Linked DNA regions of Macaca fascicularis. The protein of the gene in region 1 purifies or fractionates together with the protein of each later gene. This does not show direct contact. Links are inferred from orthologs where the notes say so. Each region holds a gene or a part of one and is shown in the gene's direction. Other genes may lie near its edges.

The links.
Region 2: the proteins of KIF24 (region 1) and CCP110 purify together in Homo sapiens (co-immunoprecipitation; 4 studies listed by BioGRID and IntAct, with this or other methods). This does not show direct contact. The link is inferred for Macaca fascicularis from reciprocal best matches to the Homo sapiens genes KIF24 and CCP110.

Annotation. Positions count from the first base shown.
Region 1 is NC_088389.1:65,075,979-65,086,978, forward strand, and holds part of KIF24 (kinesin-like protein KIF24), read left to right. Parts: intron 1-3,678; exon of another isoform or gene 3,679-3,782; intron 3,783-4,094; 5' UTR 4,095-4,119; coding exon 4,120-4,742; intron 4,743-8,637; coding exon 8,638-8,827; intron 8,828-11,000. UniProt on the Homo sapiens protein: Microtubule-dependent motor protein that acts as a negative regulator of ciliogenesis by mediating recruitment of CCP110 to mother centriole in cycling cells, leading to restrict nucleation of cilia at centrioles.
Region 2 is NC_088394.1:19,073,462-19,084,461, forward strand, and holds part of CCP110 (centriolar coiled-coil protein of 110 kDa), read left to right. Parts: intron 1-786; coding exon 787-942; intron 943-5,370; coding exon 5,371-5,499; intron 5,500-9,328; coding exon 9,329-10,976; intron 10,977-11,000.

The DNA of each region.
Region 1 (11,000 bases):
TACTTTAGGAGTTTGCTTCGAGTTTTTAAAATGGAATTCTGACTTAACAATGAATATTTTTTACATAAAGCATCTAAGATAGTGCTTGGCATAAAATATAACTCAGTACATTTTAGTTTAATCAGATCATCAAAGTAGTATGAATGTGGACTATCTGCTGGCATAATGGAATTAGCCTTTTACATAAAATGCTTTTTTAAACCATATGAAGTGTTCAGAGTGAAGTTGGTAACAATATTGTGGATATTCGGTTTCTTAAAGTTGTAAGGACCCTGAGGATGTTGCCATTAATTTGGGTGATGGTACTTGTAAAGAATTAGGAAACTCAGAGAAAATGGCTCTATGGCCACATAAGCAGGTGTCATGGAATCTTTTAATCACTTGGTTGCCTTGGGCAAAACAGTAGAGATAATGGACTTTTCTTTTTTTTTTTAAATAGAGTCTTGCTCTATTGCCAGACTGGAGTGCAGTGGCACAATCTCGGCTTACTGCACCCTTCACCTCCTAGGTTCAAGTGCCTCAGCCTCCTGAGTAGCTGGGATTATAGGCACATGCCGCCACACCCAGCTAATTTTTGTATTTTTAGTAGAGACAGGGTTTCACCATGTTGGCCAGGATGGTCTCGATCTCCTGACCTCGTGTTCCACCTGCCTTGGCCTCCCAAAGTGCTGGGATTACAGGCATGAGCCACCAGGCCCAGCCGATAATGGAACACTTCTAAATTTTTTTTTTTTTTTTAAAGACAGAGTCTCGCTGTCTCACCCAGGTTGGAGTGCAATGGCACAATCTCAGCTCACTGCACCCTCTGCTTCCTGGATTCAAGTGATTCTCCTGCTTCAGCGTCCTGAGTAGCTGGGATTACAGGCGTGCGCCACCATGCCTGAGTAATTGTTGCGTTTTTAGTAGGGGTTTCGTCATGTTGGCCAGGCTGTTCTCAAACTCCTGACCTCAGGTGATCCGCCAGGTTTGGCCTCCCAAAGTGCTGGGATTACAGGCATGAGCCACTGTGTCTGGCCCATTTCTAAATATTTTAAACGAACAGAATCTAAGCGGATACTGTTCACTTAAAATATTTGTCGTGGCCGGGCGTGATGGCTCAAGCCTGTAATCCCAGCACTTTGGGAGGCCGAGACGGGCGGATCACGAGGTCAGGAGATCGAAACCATCCTGGCGAACACAGTGAAACCCCGTCTCTACTAAAAAATACAAAAAACTAGCTGGGCGAGGTGGCGGGCGCCTGTAGTCCCAGCTACTCAGGAGGCTGAGTCAGAAGAATGGCGGAAACCCGGGAGGTGGAGCTTGCAGTGAGCTGAGATCCGGCCACTGCGCTCCAGCCAGGGCGACAGAGCGAGACTCGTCTCAAAAAAAAAAAAAAAAAATTGGTGCGCACCTATCTAGCACAGTACTTGACTGAGTGGGATCATATTGCTTTTGTCTTTAATAATTCACACAGTAGTACAAGGCAGAACCATCTTATATTATCTCTGGAACAAGACTGGCAATAAATTTTTTAAAAATGAGTATGTATATCATAAATGCCCTATCAGTTTTATCACCAAAACTCTGCAGGAGTTTAGAGAGAAGTCACATTTCCCTGGGGTAATTAAGCTAGTCAACAAATATTTATGATAGTATGAATTGTTTTTTATGCCTGTAACAAATAGCATATGAGAATGTTTATGTTAAATTAAAACATAGATTGCAATATAGTTATGAGTACAGTGTTATATACAATTTTTTAAAAGGCTAGAAAGCCATCAAAATCTTAAGAAACAATTGTATCAGGTCAATTTAGGGAGACCGAGAGGGAGGAAGGGAGGTGGAATTAGAAATATGTATAATATTTTTATTTAGAAATATATTTTTAAAATAAAAAATACAGTCACATAGTTTCAAAATTTAAAAAATAAACTGTTTTAGGTCTTGCCCTGGGTGATAGAGACACCAGTGAAATAGAAATGACAATAGGAAAGGTAGTAATAACTACCAGCATTTACAAGCATACAGTAGTTTTCCCATAATCACCCTCTACTACCTACTTCCCCTCACCCTTTCAAGACCACTATTATTGTGCATCCTTCAGTGATATTTTTTGTCTGATAAGCAAATATGTAGATTTATTATATATCATTTATCTCTCTGTTTTATAAACTGTTCTGTACCTTGCTTTAGTAACAATATATTGGATAGCTTTCTTTTTTAAATAATATTTTACAGTTTACTTACTCCTTGTAATTGTCTCATAGCATGTTTTCATTAAATGGACTATCATTATTTAACCAGTCTCTATTCCATGACTTTGCTATTACAAGCAGTGCTGTAATGAATAGCATTACACTTATGTCATTTTGTACTTGTATGTATTATCTGAAGGATAAGGATAAGTTCCTAGAGGTGGAATTGCTGGATCAGTGCATTTGCATTTGTAATTTTGATAGATATAAATCAGCGGCATACAATCATAATTACCTAGGGAACTTTTCCGAAGTTCTTATGTCTGCCCTTCCTAAAACCTGGGAGTTATTTCTGGTTGTTTTGTGGTTTTCTATAGATCTGGGATGGGGCTCAGGTATCTATATATTTTAAAGTGTCTAAACTGGGCTGGGCATGGTGGCTTATGCCTGTAACCCCCAGCACTTTGGGAGTCCGAGGTGGGTGGATCACTCGAGGTCAGGAGTTCAAGACGAGCCTGGCCAACATGGTGAAACCTCCTCTCTACTAAAAATACAAAAAAAATAGCCAAGCATGGTGGCACGCACCTGTAAATCCCAGCTACTCAGGAGGCTGAGGCAGGAGAATTGCTTGAACCTGGAGGTAGAAGTTGCAGTGACCCAAGATACCACCACTGCACTACAGCCTGGGCAACAGAGCGAGACTCCATCTCAAAAAAACAAAACAAAACAAAACAAAAACCAAATCTACCACAAATAGAAAAGGCCAGGATTAGTTTAGGATGTGTTACTCAGCCCATTTAGCCTTTTAGCCTAAGTAGTATTTCCCCCAAAGCTAATTATTCAAGGTTCTTTGATTATCTTTATTACCTTACCCTCTACTTTTTCTCTATTTCTGCTAGATAGAAGATCAAATATAAATTAAAGTGAAAACAGGAAAGTTTTACCACTAGTTACCTAACTGAATTTTTGAAAACTCTGAATTATAAAACCATTTTAAAAAAGAAAATGTAGTGTATTTACTTTTGGATATTCTCATGAACTTGATTAACAGCGATATAGAGAGCTCAGGATCCTGACTTTAATAATAGACTAGGATTATGTGTTTTTACCACATTATGTGTTAGTATTCAATTAAGTTTCTCGATGTTAAAAATTTTTAAAAACATTTAAATGTACAACTATTTAAAATCTTGACCTTAGTATTAATTTCCTGGGTAAATTATTTGATTCATATTCTGTACAGATAGAGATCGATGACCACCTTTTGGAATGATCTGAAATCCTGAATTGGTTGATGCCAAATTGATGATGTCTTCACTTCTATTTAACTAACTTTTGCCAGTACTCAGCAAATACAAATGCTATCTTCCTTTGAGTTACATTAGTTTATAATCCTCTGTGGTATGCCATTTAATTCTACTTTTCATTCTGAAAGAGTTCTTAGGCCCTGCTCATTATTCATGGGAAACAGTTGTGCAGCATGCCTTGACATTAAGTTGAGCATCTAAAATTAGTCCTGCTACAATCAGTTGTTGGGAACAAGGTTTCAATAGTTGTGGCATGTGTTAAGTAGACATTGCAAGGTTGGAAGGAACTCCCTAGAAATAAGTAAGTTATGTGTTATGTACGTGTTCATTTGTGTATCTGTGTGTATATATATATATAATGGAAGGTCTCTTTTTATTAAGCAAATTAACAAATTATGTGTTACCACAAATTCTTCATGTGCAATACAAAGCATCTTTGTTCATGCACTATGCTATTTAATTAATAATTTCACAAGAAAAATATGTTTGTTGAGAACTTGACAGATAAAACATTTTTTGCATGTTTGTGGTTTTGTGGTTTTCATTTTTTTAAATAAATAATTGTATTGCATATACTCTATTTCAAGCGAATGGCTTTTCTTTCTCTCTTCAGAGTTTATAGAAACCTATTCACCAAAATGGCATCCTGGTTATATGAATGTCTTTGTGAAGCTGAACTTGCACAGTATTATTCTCATTTCACTGCCCTTGGCCTTCAGAAAATAGATGAATTAGCCAAGATTACAATGAAAGACTACGCCAAATTAGGAGTCCATGACATGAACGACCGCAAACGTCTCTTCCAACTTATCAAAATTATTAAGATTATGCAAGAAGAAGATAAAGCAGTCAGTATCCCAGAGCGTCATCTTCAGACAAGCAGCCTGCGCATCAAGTCTCAGGAATTAAGATCTGGCCCTCGCAGACAACTGAATTTTGATTCTCCTGCTGACAATAAAGACACAAATGCCAGCAATGATGGGTTTGAAATGTGCAGTTTATCAGATTTCTCTGCATATGAACAGAAGTCCACTTACCTAAAAGTGCTAGAACACACGCTACCAGATGATTCCCAGTACCATACAAAAACAGGAATTATGAATGCCACAGCTGGTGATTCCTATGTGCAAACAGAAATCAGCACTTCACTCTTTTCACCAAATTACTTTTCTCCAATACTGGGGGATTGTGATATTCCCATTATTCAAAGAATCTCTCATGTTTCAGGGTATAACTATGGAATCCCTCATTCTTGTATCAGGTAATAAATTTTATCTTTCTTTCTTTTGAGGGAAAGTAGCCTTAGGCAAGGGCAGGCCTCTCCTTCATGTCCAGCAGACAGCATCTACTCCTTATTTACAGTAAATGAATATAACAGAAATTATCATGAACAGCTTTTGCATCAATAATAGGAATACCTGGATGTGGGAAAATTAATGAGAAATTGGGAACTTTCTAGGTGGGAGAAAGATGATATTGTTCATGTACATCAAAACAGCTGCGACTTGCCAGGATCTGTAGCAGACTTGTTTCTATTATTTATTATAGCGTAACATGATACATCTAGTACATCCGTGAAAGTAAAATAGTTAACCCTTCTACAATAGAGAAAAAAATTACACAATCCACAGAACTTTTTTAAGGTTATCAAATTCACTTAACCCAACCAGGAGACTTAAAGATGCTTTGTTAAAAACAAGGGCATGTAGTTTAATTAAGTAGGTCTTTGGAGCAGTTAGTTCACCTGCACACATTGAAATACGATCCTGATTTTGAGTGCTTTCTATAGTTTCAACCCTGGAAAAAACAATTTTGGTGGTTACAAACAGTAAGACATTGTAGGTGGAGATTAGAGTTTGAGAGTCAGGGTGACAATAAGTTATTTTCACCTAGTGCTTCGAGTTAGAGTTTGAAATAAGGTCCCTAAGAGGTGAAATAACAAGTAATCCCTACTACTAACAATGGTATAGTAGGAAATATGTTCTTGTAAAAAAAAAAAAAAATTCCTTGTTTTATTTTAAATGTTATGTATGTTAGTTATGGGAAAATAAAATTCATTCTTGAGCCATATTTTCTTTTTAAAAATACTATTATTCATACCTTAAGATAAAGTATTTGTATCTGGTCTTACATTGGCTAAGGTTTCAGAAGATCTCATAATCAGTTCTTTACTCCATAAAAATAGAAGACTCAGTTTAAACAGTAAAAATATCTTTAATAATTTGAAATATATCAGTGAATTTTTATAGTATTTCTGGAAACATTTTGTTTGGTCTAGGAGATCACAGAGCATGTAATACTGTTTTCTTCTTTTAATTCTGAGAGGAATAGATTGTTCCTTGACTATGAAGGCAGATTGTTGCTATTCTGTTGGTTACCTCAGTGGTAAAGGAGTAAATACTTTCTTTTTTTTTTTTTCAAGATGGAGTCTCACACTGTCGCCCAGGCTGGAGTGCAGTGGCGCGATCTTGGCTCACTGCAAGCTCCGCCTCCCGGGTTCACGCCATTCTGCCTCAGCCTCCCGAGTAGCTGGGACTATAGGCGCCCGCCACCATGCCTGGCTAATTTTTTGTATTTTTAGTAGAGATGGGGTTTCAGCATGGTAGCCAGGATGGTCTCAATCTCCTGACCTTGTGATCCGCCCACCTCTGCCTCCCAAAGTGCTGGGATTACAGGCGTGAACCACTGCGCCCGGCCTATTTTCTTGAATATTACTTTTTTATTGAATAATACATAAAAATCTAAATTGGAATTACTTATAAATAAAAATACCGCTTTGCATTATTTAAAAACATCAAGGATAGGATGGATATTTTAGTTTAACCATTACCATTTCATTTATTTGACTCTTTGTTTGTTTGTTTTATAGAGACAAGGTCTTGCTCTGTTACCAAGGCTGGAGTGCAGTGGTGCAGTATTGCCCACTGCAGCATCAAACTCCTGAGGTCAAGCGATCCTCCTGCTGCAGCCACCCAGGTAGCTAGGACTACAGGTACACACTACTGTCCCCAGCTAATTTTTTAATTTTTTGTAGAGATGGGGATCTCACTATGTTACCCAGGCTGGTCTTGAACTCCTGACCTCAAGTGATCCTCCCACCTAAGCTTCCCAAAGCACTGGGATTACAGGTGAGAGCCACTCCACCCTGCCCAAACTGAGCTTTTTAGAAAACATGCATGTCTTTTTGCCCCTTGAACTTGAAAACTATGGGCCTTTTGTTCATATGAGTCATCCTTGAGCCCTGGGCAATTTTAAAAAGGACTAAACATTTTCTGTACTGTTTGATCAACTTTATATGATTAGGTTATTGATATCCAACAACTAAAGATTTTAACACAAAACCCTTATTAAAATGATACATTAGGCCAGGTGCAGTGGCTCACACCTGTAATCCCAGCACTTTGGAGTCCAAGCCAGGTCGATCGCCTGAAGTCAGGAGTTCAAGACCAGCCTGGCCAACATGGCTAAACCCTATCTCTACTAAAAATACAAAAATTAGCTGGGCGTCATGGCAGGTGCCTATAATCCCAGCTATTCTAAAGGCTGAGGTAGGAGAATTGCTTGAACCCAGGAGGCAGAGGTTGCAGTGAGCCAAGATTGTGCCACTGTACTCCAGCCTGGGTGACACAGCGAGACTCTGTCTCAAAAATAAAAAAAAATTTAAAAAATTAAAATTTTTCATTTTTGATGAGCACAGTGGCTCATACCTGTAATCCTGGCATTTTGGGAGGCCAAGGCAGGCAGATTGCTTGAGTCCAGGAGTTCGAGGCCAGCCTGGGCAACATGGTGAGACCCTGGCTCTACAAAAATTAGCCAGGCATGGTGGTGTGCACCTGTAGTTCCAGCTACTATTGGCTGAAGTGGGAGGATGGCTTCAGCCCAGGAGGTTGAGGCTGCAGTGAGCTGTGCTCACACCACTGCACTCCAGTCTCGGTGATAGAGCAAGACCCTGTCTCAAAACAAAACAAAACAAAAAATTCTGTTTTCTTGTGAAAAATCAAACATATGCAAAAGAAGAAAAAATAGAACACTGAATCCCAATATGTCCGTCATCCAGTTTCTTTTTCTTTTTCTTTTTTTTAAGACAGAGTCTTGCTCTGTTGCCCAGGCTGAAATGCAATGGCACTATCTCACCTGTGAGCTCCACCTCCTGGGTTTAAGTGAGCACATCCGGCTAAGTTTTATATTTTTAGTAGAGATGGGGTTTCACCACGTTGGCCAGGCTGGTCTTGAACTCCTGACCTCAAGTGATCTGCTCGCCTCAGCCTCTCAAAGTGCCAGGATTACAGGCGTGAGGCACTGCACCTGGCCCATCGTCTAGTTTTAATGATTGTCAAGATTTTCCCACGGTACCTCAAAATGGTACATTTCATTCTTTATTCCACCTGCAGTTTCATGCAAAAATGATGCATTTTAAAGTCACTAAATGTTGGTTAAGAAAATAAAATTTGCTTTAAAACATGCCATAAAAGTAGTGCTTTATGCATTATATTAGAAAATTATTTGCTGTTTTTTTTTTTTTTTTTTAACCAATTCAGATCCCAGTAAAAAAATAATTTTCCAGGCTGGGCGTGATGGCTCATGCTTGTAATCCCAGCACTTTGAGAGGCCAAAGTGGGAGGATTGCTTGAGGCCATAAGTTCAAGACCAGCCTGGGCAAGATAGTGGGACCCTGTCCCTACAAAAATTACAAAAATTAGCCAGCTATGGTGGTGTATGCCTATAGTCCTAGCTACTCGGGAGGCTAAGGTAGAATTGCTTGAACCCAGGAGGTCGAGGCTGCAATGAGCCGTGGTTATGCCAATGCATTCCAGCCTCCATGACAGAAATTTTTTTTCAGCAGCCAGTTGGAGGGCTAAGAAGATCAGAATTGATGTGAAACAATTGTATAAAATAGTATCCTATATAAGATCTCTTAGGGGTTTTTTTGTTTGTTGATTGGTTTTTGTTGTTCTGTTTTTTATGTTTTTGCAGGGGAAGAGGTGGAGTAGGGTGGGGATGGAGATAGAAGAACTTTCTCAGGGTTGACCCTTTACTTTGTAACTTTAAGAAATATATTATGCCTAATATACAGCAAAATGTACCCATACTTTGACCTGTTAAGTAATCTTGTCCTATTATTAAAAATTAAAAGCCTGTTTATAAACATATATTAGACAGAACACTTCAGAGAAACAGAATCCTTGGACTGAGATGGAGAAAATCAGAGTTTGTGTTCGAAAACGCCCCCTGGGCATGAGGGAGGTACGTCGTGGAGAAATTAATATTATTACTGTAGAAGATAAAGAAACTCTACTTGTGCATGAGAAGAAAGAAGCAGTTGACCTCACTCAATATATTCTGCAGGTATGATGTTTTCCTTTTATGTTTGGAACTAATATTATCAAGTATGTCGTTGTTTTATTTTTTTTGCTTTTTGTTTGAGTGATGGCATATAGGTTTCTGTTAGAACACAGAAAATCATGTTTCTGGTTTGGGTGTTGACATTCATTCCTGATGTGACACTGTTTTAAGTCATTGATATCCAGGGCCTTCATTTTTTTAAAAAGATGGTGCAATAGGGAATACAAAAACAATTTCTCTTGTGCAGTGGAGCTACATCATATATTCACTTAACATGCTTTGTGTGAATTTAATTATACATATTCAGCAAAAAAAAAAAGAGGGATGAAGGAATAAAAATAATTTAAATAATGAAGTGGAGCCAGGTGTGGTGGCTCATGCCTATAATCCCAGCGCTTTGGGAGGCTGCAGCAGGAGGATCACTTGAGCTGGAGAGTTTGAGACCACCCTGGGCACCATAGCGAGACCCTGTCTCTCCAGAAAAAAATTTAAAACTAGCCTAGCATGGTGGTGTGTACCTGTAGTGTTAGCTACTCAGGAGGCTGAGGTGGGAGGATCACTTGAGCCCAGGAGTTCTGCATTACAGTGCACTATGATTGCACCACTGCACTCCAGCCTGGGCAACAGAGGGAGGATCTGCCTCTAAAATAATATAAAAATAAAAAACAAATAAATAATTAAGTAGTTGTCAACAGGACCAGTCACTGAATATATGCCCCAGAGTGACTATGAGATGTCACACAGTTGATTTCCATTCTTGCTTGCATCTCATAGTGTGAACTTCTCATCTGCTGAGTTTGAGACTTGGGTTTAATGATGAACAATATCTTTTTGGGCAGCAGGACCCACAGTTGCCAGCCATGTGCTTATTTTCATTCTCAGCTGTCTTGGGCTTATAATTAATTGGTGAAAATTGGGCTCTGAGCAGACCACTTTATACAGGGTAGACTGCAGTGGGTAAATATAATCCAAGGATACGATTTCACATCTACCATATAAGGGTTTAAATAAAACACTAATAACTCAGACATGTAAATAATGTTCACTACCTGCTAGAGTGATTATGAAGAGTCGAAGGAGAAAGAGTTTGGTATTGAAAGGAACTTACTCCAAGCTGAAGGTACCTTGCAATAATTATCTAGTCTCATAGGGAAACAGCAAACTCCACAGATGGAAAGAATCATCACTTAGGTACTCCTAAGACTGTGAAACAATTGTGAGTAATCTAAAACCAGATAATCCATCAGATGTTAAGATTTACGAATACACAGTTTCTCTTACTCTGAATCTACTTCCCTAAACATTCATATTATATTTATTCTTTCTCTCTCTTGTTCTCTTGCCTCAAAACTGAGTAGCTGGTAGAGAGAAAAAAAATGTGGTATGCTAGCAAGTCACCTTAGCTGAGATCTTACATTAGTGGAATAAATCCTTTAATGCTGAAGTCAAATTTGTTAACACTTTCCCCCACTTTCTAACTTGTATTGTTCTTCTTTTTCTTTGGTTACCAAAATTGCGTTTCACAGTGATATTCAGAGTAATCCACTGAGTGTTTCTATTGGTACTAAATTATTAGGCCGCTGTAAAACCAACCCAATCACTTTAACAGCCTTATCGATTGCTGATCAATGCATGGTCTATTAGGTCTCAGTGGGAGATATTTATTTTGAAAATGGACTAAATGACCAATTAGTTGTAATGCTATCTAGTTCCATGGCTACTTATAGCCATCGTAATAGCCCTATCCAATCACTGTCTAAGACTTCCTTAATGATGCCTCTGTCACAGTAATTCCCTCAAGGAGGCATCATCTTATCTTTTGTATTTTTCTGTTATCCCCAAACACAATAACCTTACTTTTTGTCATTACCACTGGTCAATACTTATTGAATACCCATAGTTTCCATGGCACTTTCTCTGCTGTTTGAACTTTGGACCTTTGCTCTCATAGGTCCGAGTCCTTACCTGTCAATGCTATGATATAAAAATGTTGGGAGGACTTCTTTTTCTTTTTTCTTCCTCAAATATAAAGAAGAAAAGGTAGGTTTATAGCAAACTGGGTGGTAAATAAATATTGATCGTAGATTCTTTGGGTTTTATTTTTAAGCATATTTAGAGATAATAGGTTTTTGTGTTTGTTTTATTAAATGTCCTTTCTTTTCAAATCTTGTTACTT
Region 2 (11,000 bases), on another chromosome or scaffold:
TTCAAAGTAGAAAATTTTTAAAAGTAAATATTCTTTGATTTAAGTAGGCTTTTTTACTACAGTGTTTCTACCTTTGTATGATATAGTTTTTCTTGTGTAGATAAGTCCTGTTAAAGAAAATATAATATCCTATTTTACAATCTGAAGTTAGTAAAGGTGTACAGAACTTAGTTTTCTTTAAGAAGGTTATGAATTCTTAGCTAAATTAATCCCATTTAAAGATTGATTTACATGCAATAATATTCAGAAATATTTAATATATCAAGGACATCTTAATTGGACATGTTCTTGAGGTGAATTACCATACACAAGAATTAGCTCCTGATTAGTAAGACAATTCTTTTTTTTTTTTTTTTTTTTTTTTTTTTTTTTGAGATGGAGTCTCGCTCTGTCGCCCAGGCTGAAGTGCAGTGGCCGGATCTCAGCTCACTGCAAGCTCCGCCTGCCGGGTTCGGGCCATTCTCCTGTCTCAGCCTCCTGAGTAGCTGGGACTACAGGCGCCCGCCACCTCGCCCGGCTAGTTTTTTGTATTTTTTAGTACAGACGGGGTTTCACCGTGTTAGCCAGGATGGTCTCGATCTCCTGACCTAGTGATCCACCTGTCTTGGCCTCCCAATGTGCTGGGATTACAGGCTTGAGCCACCGCGCCCAGCCTTAGTAAGACAATTCTGGGAGGACCAGTTATAGGAATTGTGAATTATAGGGACTCTCTCATGCTCTGCAAAATCTGCCAAATAAGATCTGTTTTTCCCAATACATTAAAAATAACATTTTTCTCTCTTGTAGTGTGACTGTGGGAAGATGGAGGAGTATGAGAAGTTCTGTGAAAAAAGTCTTGCCAGAATACAAGAAGCATCACTATCCACAGAGAGCTTTCTCCCTACTCAGTCTGAAAGTATCTCACTTATTCGCTTTCATGGAGTGGCTATCCTTTCTCCACTGGTAAACTTGCTTTGTTTTTAAATAGTTTTTTTCTGTAGTGAACAACTAAAACAGTTCATGGAAAAACAAAAGAAAGGCTTATAAACATTCGAAGAGCTGCCCTTATTTAGAATTAGAGAAATGCAAATGAATTAGCATTTTTTACTTACTATTATAGATTGACAAAGAGCTAATAGAACCTTGTGTTCCTTAGACTGTGGAGAAAATGCACTTTTAATGCACTTTTGCTAAGAGAATCAGTTTATTTTATTTCTAGATGAGAGTTTGGTAGAATTTAAAAGCATACATAGCCTTTGAGTCAGCAGTTCCATTTTGGGGTGTATCCTACAATTATACGTGAGCCTAAAGAAGTAAGTACAGAGTTACATTAGCATTGTTTAAAATAGCAAAGGTTGACGAACAACCTAAATGTCCATCAGTAGTGGAGTAGTTTAACTGTGGTCCATTTTATAAAATCTCTTACTTACCATTACAGTAAGGCAGATGTAAATGTTGAGGCATGGAAGGATCTTGATGATCTAGTGTAAAACACTGTGTGCAGCATGCTGTCAGGGGCAGTATAGAGTCACGATTAGAGGTCCAGGCTGTGGACCAGGCACGGTGGCTCACATCTATAGTCCCAGTTATTTGAGAGGCTGGAAGGGAAAGGATTGCTTGTGACCAGGAATTCAAGACTAGCCTGGTTAACATAGTGAAACCTCATCTCTACAAAAACATTTTAAAAAATTAGGCAGGCGTGGTGACATGTGCCTGTAGTCCCAGCTACTCGAAGGCTAAGGTGGAAGGATTCCTTGAACCTAGGAGTTCCAGGCTACAGGGAGCCAGGATTGCGCTGTTGCCTGGGCTACAGAGCAAGACCCTGTCCCAAGAGAAGGAAAAAATCTCCAGCCTGGGCTACAGAGCAAGACCCTGTCCCAAAAGAAGGAAAAAAAGAAAAACAAAAGCCTAGGCTCTGGAGCCTTCTGGCCTGGTCCAAATCATTGCTTTGCTACTTACTTGCTGTGTAAACTTGTGGCCCATTTTCTTATTTGTTAAATGGGGATAAAATAGTGCCTATCTCATAAGGCTATTTTGAAGATTAAATGAATGCATAGTTATAAAATGGTTAGAATACCACCTGGATCATAAGAGGTACCCAATATAAGTTAACCATTTGGGTTTTTTAAAGGATGGCTATTCCTTTTCTGGGGAGTGGTGAGAGAATATAGGATAATAGGGAAGACACTTCATCATATACCGTTTGATACTAATTGGATATTTTAAAATGTATATGACTTTATTTTAAATCACAAACTAATATTAGAAAAAAGTGAGCTTTAAATTTATGTTTTGGTATAACAGGAGTTAAGAGATTAATTTTAATTAATTTAATTGAATTTTTTTTTTTTTTTTTTTTTTTTTGAGACGGAGTCTTGCTCTGTCACCCAGGCTGGAGTGCAGTGGCCGGATCTCAGCTCACTGCAAGCTCCGCCTCCCGGGTTCACGCCATTCTCCTGCCTCAGCCTCCCAAGTAGCTGGGACTACAGGCGCCCGCCACCTCGCCCGGCTAGTTTTTTGTATTTTTTAGTAGAGACGGGGTTTCACCGTGTTAGCCAGGACGGTCTCGATCTCCTGACCTCGTGATCCGCCCGTCTCGGCCTCCCAAAGTGCTGGGATTACAGGCTTGAGCCACCGCGCCCGGCCAATTTAATTGAATTTTTAAAGACACCAGAGCTAACTGCCAACTTTTTGTAATGAAACTTTCAAATATACAGCAAAATTGAAAGGATAGTGCAGTGACCTACCGTAGATTTACCATTAGATTAAACAATATTTAACATTTTTGTCATCTTTGCTTTATTGTGTTTGTGATTTTTATATACATGTATGTGTGTGTGTACATACATACGTTTTAAAAAATTGCCTAGCTATTTGAAAACCACAAAGACCTAACACTGCTTCCCTAAATATTTTGGTATACATCTCTTAAAAATAAGGACATTCTCATATATAAAGCCCCAATACCATTATCACATCTTAAGAAAATTAATAATTTTTAATAATGTCTAATAATTCTGTTCATATTTAAATTTTTCCATTTGTGCTCAAAATGCCTTTTATAACTTTATTCCCCCAATCTGGATCCAAAGTTCATAATTAGTATTTGCTTGTTATGTTTCTTTATTTTAATCTAGAACAGTTCCTCTATGTCTTAAAAACAATTTTTTTTATTGGTTGGGCATGGTGCCTCACGCCTGTAATCTCAGCACTTTGGGAGGCTGAGGTGGGTGTATTGCATTGCTTAATCCCCAGAGTTTGAGACCAGCCAGGGCAACAGGGTGAAATCTCATACCTACACAAAATACAAAAATCAGCCGGGTGTAGTGGCGTGCACCAGTAGTCTCAGCTGCTCTAGAGGCTGAGGTGGGAGGACCACTTGAGCCCAGGAGACTGAGGCTGCAGTGAGCCCTGATCATGCCACTGCACTGCAACCTGGGTGACAGAGTGAGATACTATCTTTTAAAAAAACCAAAACTGTGATACTGAATTTTTAAAGAGACCAGAGCTATTGTCTTGTAGAATTCCTTAGATCTTGGATTTGTCTCATCATTTCCTAATAGTGATATTTAACTTGTTTCTCTAGTCCCTGTAGTTCCTATGAACTGGAAGTGAAGTTTGATAAACAGGTTAAAAGATTTTTGGAATTCTTTGAAGATGGGGCTGGACGGGGTGGCTCATGAGTATAATCCCAGCACATTGGGAGGCTGAGACCAGCCTGACCAACATGGCGAAACCCCTTGTCTACTAAAAATATAAAAATTAGCTGGGCATGACGGCGGTTGCCTGTAATCCCAGCTGTGCGGGAGGCTGAGGCAGGAGAATTGCTTGAACCCAGGAGGGATCAGGATTGCACCACTGTACTCTAACCTGAGACTCCATCTCAAAAACAAAAAAATAAATAATAAGGAATTCTTTGGAGATGATGCCCTACACTTCATACTAAGTTAAATCAGAAGTTGCATAATGTTTAGTTGCCCTCTATTAGTGATGTTTAGTTTGAACACTTGCTTACAGTAGTGACTGCCAGATGGCTCTTTAAAGTACGCATTTTCTCCTCTTGATTAGCAAGTAAATTGTATAATGATTCTTTTGTACCATGCATTAGGAAAAAGTTTTAAAACAACATATTTGCCAGCTATTTGATAACATATTGCTTGATTTAATGTGGACCAAAATGTCTGAGGCTTGTTGTATGGTGTCTATGACTCCATCTGTTAGTTATTTGTAAGCAAAATCTGATGTTTATGGACCTAATCCACATTTTTATGTTGTATTTGATAGGTGAATATTGCAACTTTTGAAATAATTTTTAATGATATATTTTCTATTTGTGTAAGTCTACAATAAGTCTTGACTGTTAACAGTGACTTAATTTCCTAGGACTTAATAATTAAGATTGAAATCCATTATAAAGAGATACAATGCTTAGAAGCCTTCCATTTTTTAGGTACATTATATTTTTATCGGAAGGTAGAGTGAGGTGAAAGAAAAGACGTGTTCTGATTTTGTAGGCAAATAATACATTATCTGTTTCTTTTATCATTAAACCTTTGGACATTTTTTGAGGCAGCAAAGAGTTAAATTGTGCACTGGTTAGAAAATTAAAAGTTGTAGAATCCAATTGACCCAGTAAAATAAGATACTGAACGTGGGCCAGGCGCGGTGGCTCACACCTGTAATCCCAGCACTTTGGGAGGCCGAGGTGGGCGAATCACAAAGTCAGGAGTTCGAGACCAGCCTGACCAACATGGTGAAACCCCATCTCTACTAAAAATACAAAAATTAGCTGGGTGTGGTGGTGCATGCCTGTAATCCCAGCTCTTCAGGAGGCTGAGGCAGGAGAATTGCTTGAACCCAGGAGGCAGAGGTTGCAGTGAGCCGAGATCGCACCACTACACTCCAGCCTGGGTGACAGAGCAAGACTCAGTCTCAAAAAAAAAAAAAAAAAAAAGGATACTGAATGTGAAGTAATATTCAAGTCAGTATTCAAGTGAAGTAATAAAAAACTCAGCAGTGGCCAAAAGGGCTTTAATTTTATTTCTGTCATTTTAGAACATTTGATTAGTGAACAAACTTTTTTTCTTTTTAACTTTTTAATTGAAAATAATTTACACATAGCAAAATACACAGATCTGAAGTGTTAAAGTTCCATGAGTTTTGATATATGGCATACACATGTATAACTCACACCCACACAGGATATTTTCTTCACCATGGAAAGATCTCTAATGCCCCATCCCACTCAGTACCCAGACCACTGTTCTGATTTCTTTCACTGTAGATTAGTTTTGCCTGTTGCACATGTTTTTCATCTTTGTGATTCAGAACTTCCCAATTTTATGATATTTTTATCGTGGGAAATAATTACATTTTTATGATGTTTTGCAGCTTAACGTTGAGAAAAGAAAGGAAATGCAACAAGAAAAGCAGAAAGCACTTGATGTAGAAGCAAGAAAGCAGGTTAACAGGAAGAAAACTTTACTGACTCGTGTCCAGGAGATTCTTGACAATGTTCAGGTGTGTGATTTATGCAGTTTCAGTTATAATACAGAAATAATAAGATAAGCATTGATGATAATTTTTCTGAAATATATTTGCACTTAACTAATTACTAATGTACTTTACTGTTAGTTTGAGAAGCTTCATAATTTGTGATTTTCCATTTCAGTTACTCCAAAGAGAATGCACTTGCTTGTTAGTGTTGCCCAGTACTTGAATCAGAGGATATTTGCACAATGGAACCATACACTGAATATAATTGCTTATTGTTTGCATTTTGTGATTCTAAAAACATTGAATTCTCAGTGACAAAATGATAGAATTGGGCATTATTGGCCAAACTAATTAGACTATTGACTAAATTACCTTATTCTCATTCTTTGCTTAAGTAAATAACTGCCCCCAATTTTTTTTTGGTGAAAATTCTGCTCTTAGATACACAAAATGCAGTTTAGATACGTTGAATTGTTTAGATGCATCCTGTCTAAAAACTATTTAAACAACACATCTACACCTTGTGCAGTTATTTTTAGATTTGTATAAACAATTTGTTCTGACATGTGGATCATTTTGTACTAAAAAGAAAAACAAATGAATTAGATCGAACGAATAATTTCTACAACATGTAGGAGTGTTCTGCTGTATAACATCTTTTTGTTTTTTCATAATCTTAAGAGTTTGTGGTTTGTCTGTATAATTCGTATTAGATGACACATGTATAATGAACCTTAAGGGCTCATTTCTCTGTTGGTAGTGTAAACCAAAGAAAATGACTGAAGCGAGTCTCAATCGATTTAGAGGTTTGTTTTGCCAAGGTTGAGGATGTGCCAAGGAAAAAGAGACAAAAGTTGCAGTAGGATCTGTGGCTTGTGCTTTTCCAAAAGAGGTTTTGAGGACTTCAGTATTTAAAGGGGAAAGAACAGCAGGAGGGGAAAGAGGAAAGAAAAAAAATGTAGGGTAGGTAGTGAGATAAGTGGTCACATTTTTGTGAGGTTTTGATTAGCACTCACTGAATCCACGTGTCACATGTGAAAGGTGGGGGTAGAGGAACAGTCAGCTATGCATTCATCTCAAGCTCAATAAATCTGCATTTTACATAGGATAAAGTAAACAGAGTAGAGGAGAAGTCAAATATACATTTGTCTCCAAAGGGATGATTTCTAGTCATCTTTGGTCTTTGTCAGTATCTTGTCAGAGTGAGATTCAGCAGAACTCTGGGTTGGTGTAAAGATTTTGGGGCCTACAAGGAATTTCCTTGTGAGCAATTTGCAAGAGAGGCTACCTGGGTAGATAGGTGGCCTTCTATTTTGCAGCTATCTGTTTAGGAATAAAAGGAAAGCAGTTTTTGTGTGACTCAGTTCCTAAGCTTTACTTTTTCCTTTGACATGTGATTTTCCATTTCAGTTACTTGAAATCCCTATGTAATGAGTCTTTAGAATCTGATGAAAAAGTCAAAGGAATATATAGAAAGAGAACAATCTAGACACAGTCTGAGAGTTATAGTGACTCTCATTTGACATAGTTGAGTTTGGGGTCCTGAGATTTTATTTCCCTTTCACAGTAGTATATAGTGTGTGGGTAGTAGATTTCATTACTGTCCGTATTAAGTTTAAAAAATGGATTGAGTAGTGCTAATTTAACTATAAGAGGTGAGTTTTTTACTTACTAGATATTTCCTGTGATTGATACGAAAATGGCGTATCATTTTTGGTCCATTGAGGGAAGATAAAATATACTACTAATAAAATTGTTAAAAGAGCATATATAATGTTGAACTGTAATGAATTAATTACTCAGATAGGAAAATTTTATATAAAACAATTAGATTTCTGCTTCACCTGTAAAACCTAAGATTCTATGATAGAGTTTTTTCTTGTTGTTATTTAGCTTGTCTAACTAAAGGCTCATTTTAGTGACGTATAAACAACATAGCTTCCGAATATCACAAATGTGAAATATTTTATATAAGGAAATCATCTGTTTTACTTAAACCTGTGAACATGTTCATGGATTTCGTAAATATGCATCCTTTTTGTTTTATTTTGGTCCTGAGGCTGTGACTAAGTATGTCTTGTACTGTTGATTGCATAGTACCTGGAAACCATTTTGCATCTTTTTTGTTTTATTTTGGTCCTGAGGTTGTGACTAAGTATGTCTTGTTGTACTGTGTATTGCATAGTACCTGGAAACCATTACCTGTCTTGGGATTTGTAAGGTAAAATAGGAGAGCCATGTGGTCTAGAAAAAAATAAACACATACAAAACAACCAAAAAATATTGTAATATTCAGGCTTTTTTTGTTGTTGTTGAGACGGAGTCTCACTCTGTTGCCCAGGTTGGTGTGCAGTGACGCGATCTCGGCTCACTGCAAGCTCCGCTTCCTGGGTTCATGCCAGTCTCCTGCTTCAGCCTCCCGAGTAGCTGGGACTACAGGCACCCACCACCAAGCCCAGCTAATTTTTTATATTTTTAGTAGAGATGGGGTTTCACCATGTTAGCCAGGATGATCTCGATCTCCTGACTTCATGATCCGCCCGCCTTGGCCTCCCAAAGTGCTGGGATTACACACGTGAGCCACCGCACCGGGCCAATATTCAGGCTTTTGATGTCTATATTCATATGATAATACTATGATTTTTGCCAGTTTAATATACGGATGTATAATTACCTTTAGAAGCCATCGTAGTTCTCTTTTTATTCTTTTGCAAAGTTGGATCATTTAGATACAAAATATCTATTTTTATATTTATTTATTTATTTATTGAGACAGAGTCTCACTCTGTCACCCAGGATGGAGTGCAGTGGTGTGATCTCAGCTCACTGCAATCTCCGCCACCTGGGTTCAAGTGATTCTCCTGCCTCAGCCTCCTGAGTAGTTGGGATTACCAGTGCCTGCCACCATGCCTGGCCAATTTTTGTATTTTTTGTAGAGATGGAGTTTTGCCATGTTGGCCAGGCTGGTCTCGAACTCCTAGACTCAAGCAATTCACCTGCCTTGGCCTCCCAAACTGCTGAGATTACAGGCATGAGCCACCTCTCCCAGCTTTACATATATTTTATGTTTCTTTTTCTCATATATGTAGTTCTCATCTTTATCATCTACCAAATGTTTACCTATTTTGGCTGTTCCGAAATTCATTAACAACTTGCTGTTTTAACTAAGCATCAATGAATCAAATTGGATTTTGTTTTAATGAATTGAGTTTTAAGTTCAAATATTTCTTATTTCTAAATAATTTAAGCTTCATGGCTGGGCTATTGTTTACTACAAATTTCCCTCATTTTATGGAGGGATTTTAGTTAAATTTTGGAGTAAGCATGTGGGTGCAGGAGTCTTATTACTGAATCAGTTTTGCTTAATCAGTGTCCTGGACAAGTTAGTTTTTGTTAGAGAGGGAATCATTTATGTAAGACATTTCATTACTTGCTGTTTATTGCATATATTATTATCCTTGGATGATACCTATCCTACGAGGAACAGTTGGTAATGTTAATAACATGAATAGAAGAAATTTAAGGAAAGTGCTTCTATTCTAAGATTAAATTGCACATGGATATATGAATATATCTGTGTGTGTATACACATATATATGTTCATATTTGTATCAGATTAGATAAGTTTCTTTTCATAAGTCTTTTAATAACTTAGGCAGGATGACCAGTGGGTGTTTTTTCAATAATAATTTGAGCCCCCTGTGATACAGGATACCATAGAAACCTGTCATCTTAGTTTTTCTTTATGTTTTGAAATGTCAGAATTCTGAATCTTCAATTTCATTTTAGAAAACAGTGAAATCAGAGACTTTGTGCAATGAGGAAATACTAATTTTTAAATTTCCTGTTTCAGGTTAGAAAAGCACCTAATGCCAGTGATTTTGATCAGTGGGAGATGGAAACGGTTTACTCTAATTCAGAAGTCAGAAACTTGAATGTTCCTGCTACATTTCCAAATAGCTTTCCAAGCCATACCGAACACTCTACTGCAGCAAAGCTTGATAAGATAGCTGGGATTTTGCCACTGGATAATGAGGACCAATGTAAAACTAATGGAACAGACTTAGCTAGAGATTCAGAAGGATTTAATTCTCCGAAGCAATGTGATAGTTCCAATATTAGTCATGTAGAAAATGAAGCTTTTCCAAAGACCTCTTCAGCAACTCCACAAGAAACTCTTATTTCTGATGGTCTCTTCTCAGTAAATGAACAACAGGATCTACCACTTTTGGCAGAAGTCACCCCAGATCCCTATGTAATGAGTCTTCAGAATCTGATGAAAAAGTCAAAGGAATATATAGAAAGAGAACAATCTAGACACAGTCTGAAAGGTAGTATGATGAGAATTGTTAATGAGAGTCATATAGACAAAGAAAATGATGCTGTTAAAGTGGCTGACTGTGTAAAAGAGAAGGCCCAGTTGACAGGCAAACACTGTGTCTCAGTTATTCCTGACAAACCAAGCCTTAATAAATCAAATGTTCTTCTCCAAGGTGCTTCCACTCAAGCAAGCAGCATGAGTATGCCAGTTTTAGCTAGCTTTTCGAAAGTGGACATACCTGTACGAACTGGCCATTCCACTGTTCTAGAGTCTAATTCTGATTTTAAAGTTATTCCCACTTTTGTTACTGAAAATAATGTTATCAAAAGTCTTACAGGTTCATATGCCAAATTACCTAGTCCAGAGCCAAGTATGAGTCCTAAAATGCACCGAAGACGTTCCAGGACATCATCAGCATGTCATATACTTATAAATAACCCAATAAATGCCTGTGAATTAAGCCCTAAAGGAAAAGAACAGGCAATGGACTTAATTGTTCAAGATACTGATGAAAAAACAAATGTGCCCGAAATTCTGCCAAAGTTACCAATTGATTTAGCAGGAGTTTGTTCAAGCAAGGTTTATGTGGGCAAAAATACATTTGAAGTCAAAGAAGATGTGGTTTTAGGTAAATCAAATCAGGTATGTCAATCTTCAGGAAATCATTTAGAAAATAAAGTTACTCATGGACTTGCTACTGTGGAAGGTCAGTTAACATCCGAAGAGAGAGGTGCACACAAAATGAACAGTACCTGCACTGTGATGCCAAAGCTGCATGAACCATATGCCAGCAGTCAGTGTATAGCAAGTCCAAACTTTGGAACTGTGAGTGGACTCAAGCCAGCCAATATGTTAGAGAAAAACTGCAGTTTGCAAACGGAACTGAATAAGTCTTATGATGTAAAAAACCCTTCTCCTTTATTGATGCAAAACCAGAATATGAGACAGCAGATGGACACACCTATGGTGTCCTGTGGAAATGAACAATTTTTGGATAACAGTTTTGAGAAAGTTAAACGGAGACTTGATTTGGATATTGATGGTGTGCAAAAAGAAAACTGCCCTTATGTCATAACAAGCGGAATAACTGAACAAGAAAGGCAACATTTGCCAGAAAAAAGATACCCTAAGGGATCTGTCTTCATTAACAAGAATAAAATATTAGGAACTAGTTCCAAAGGTAAGGAATCCTTGAAGCATTTGA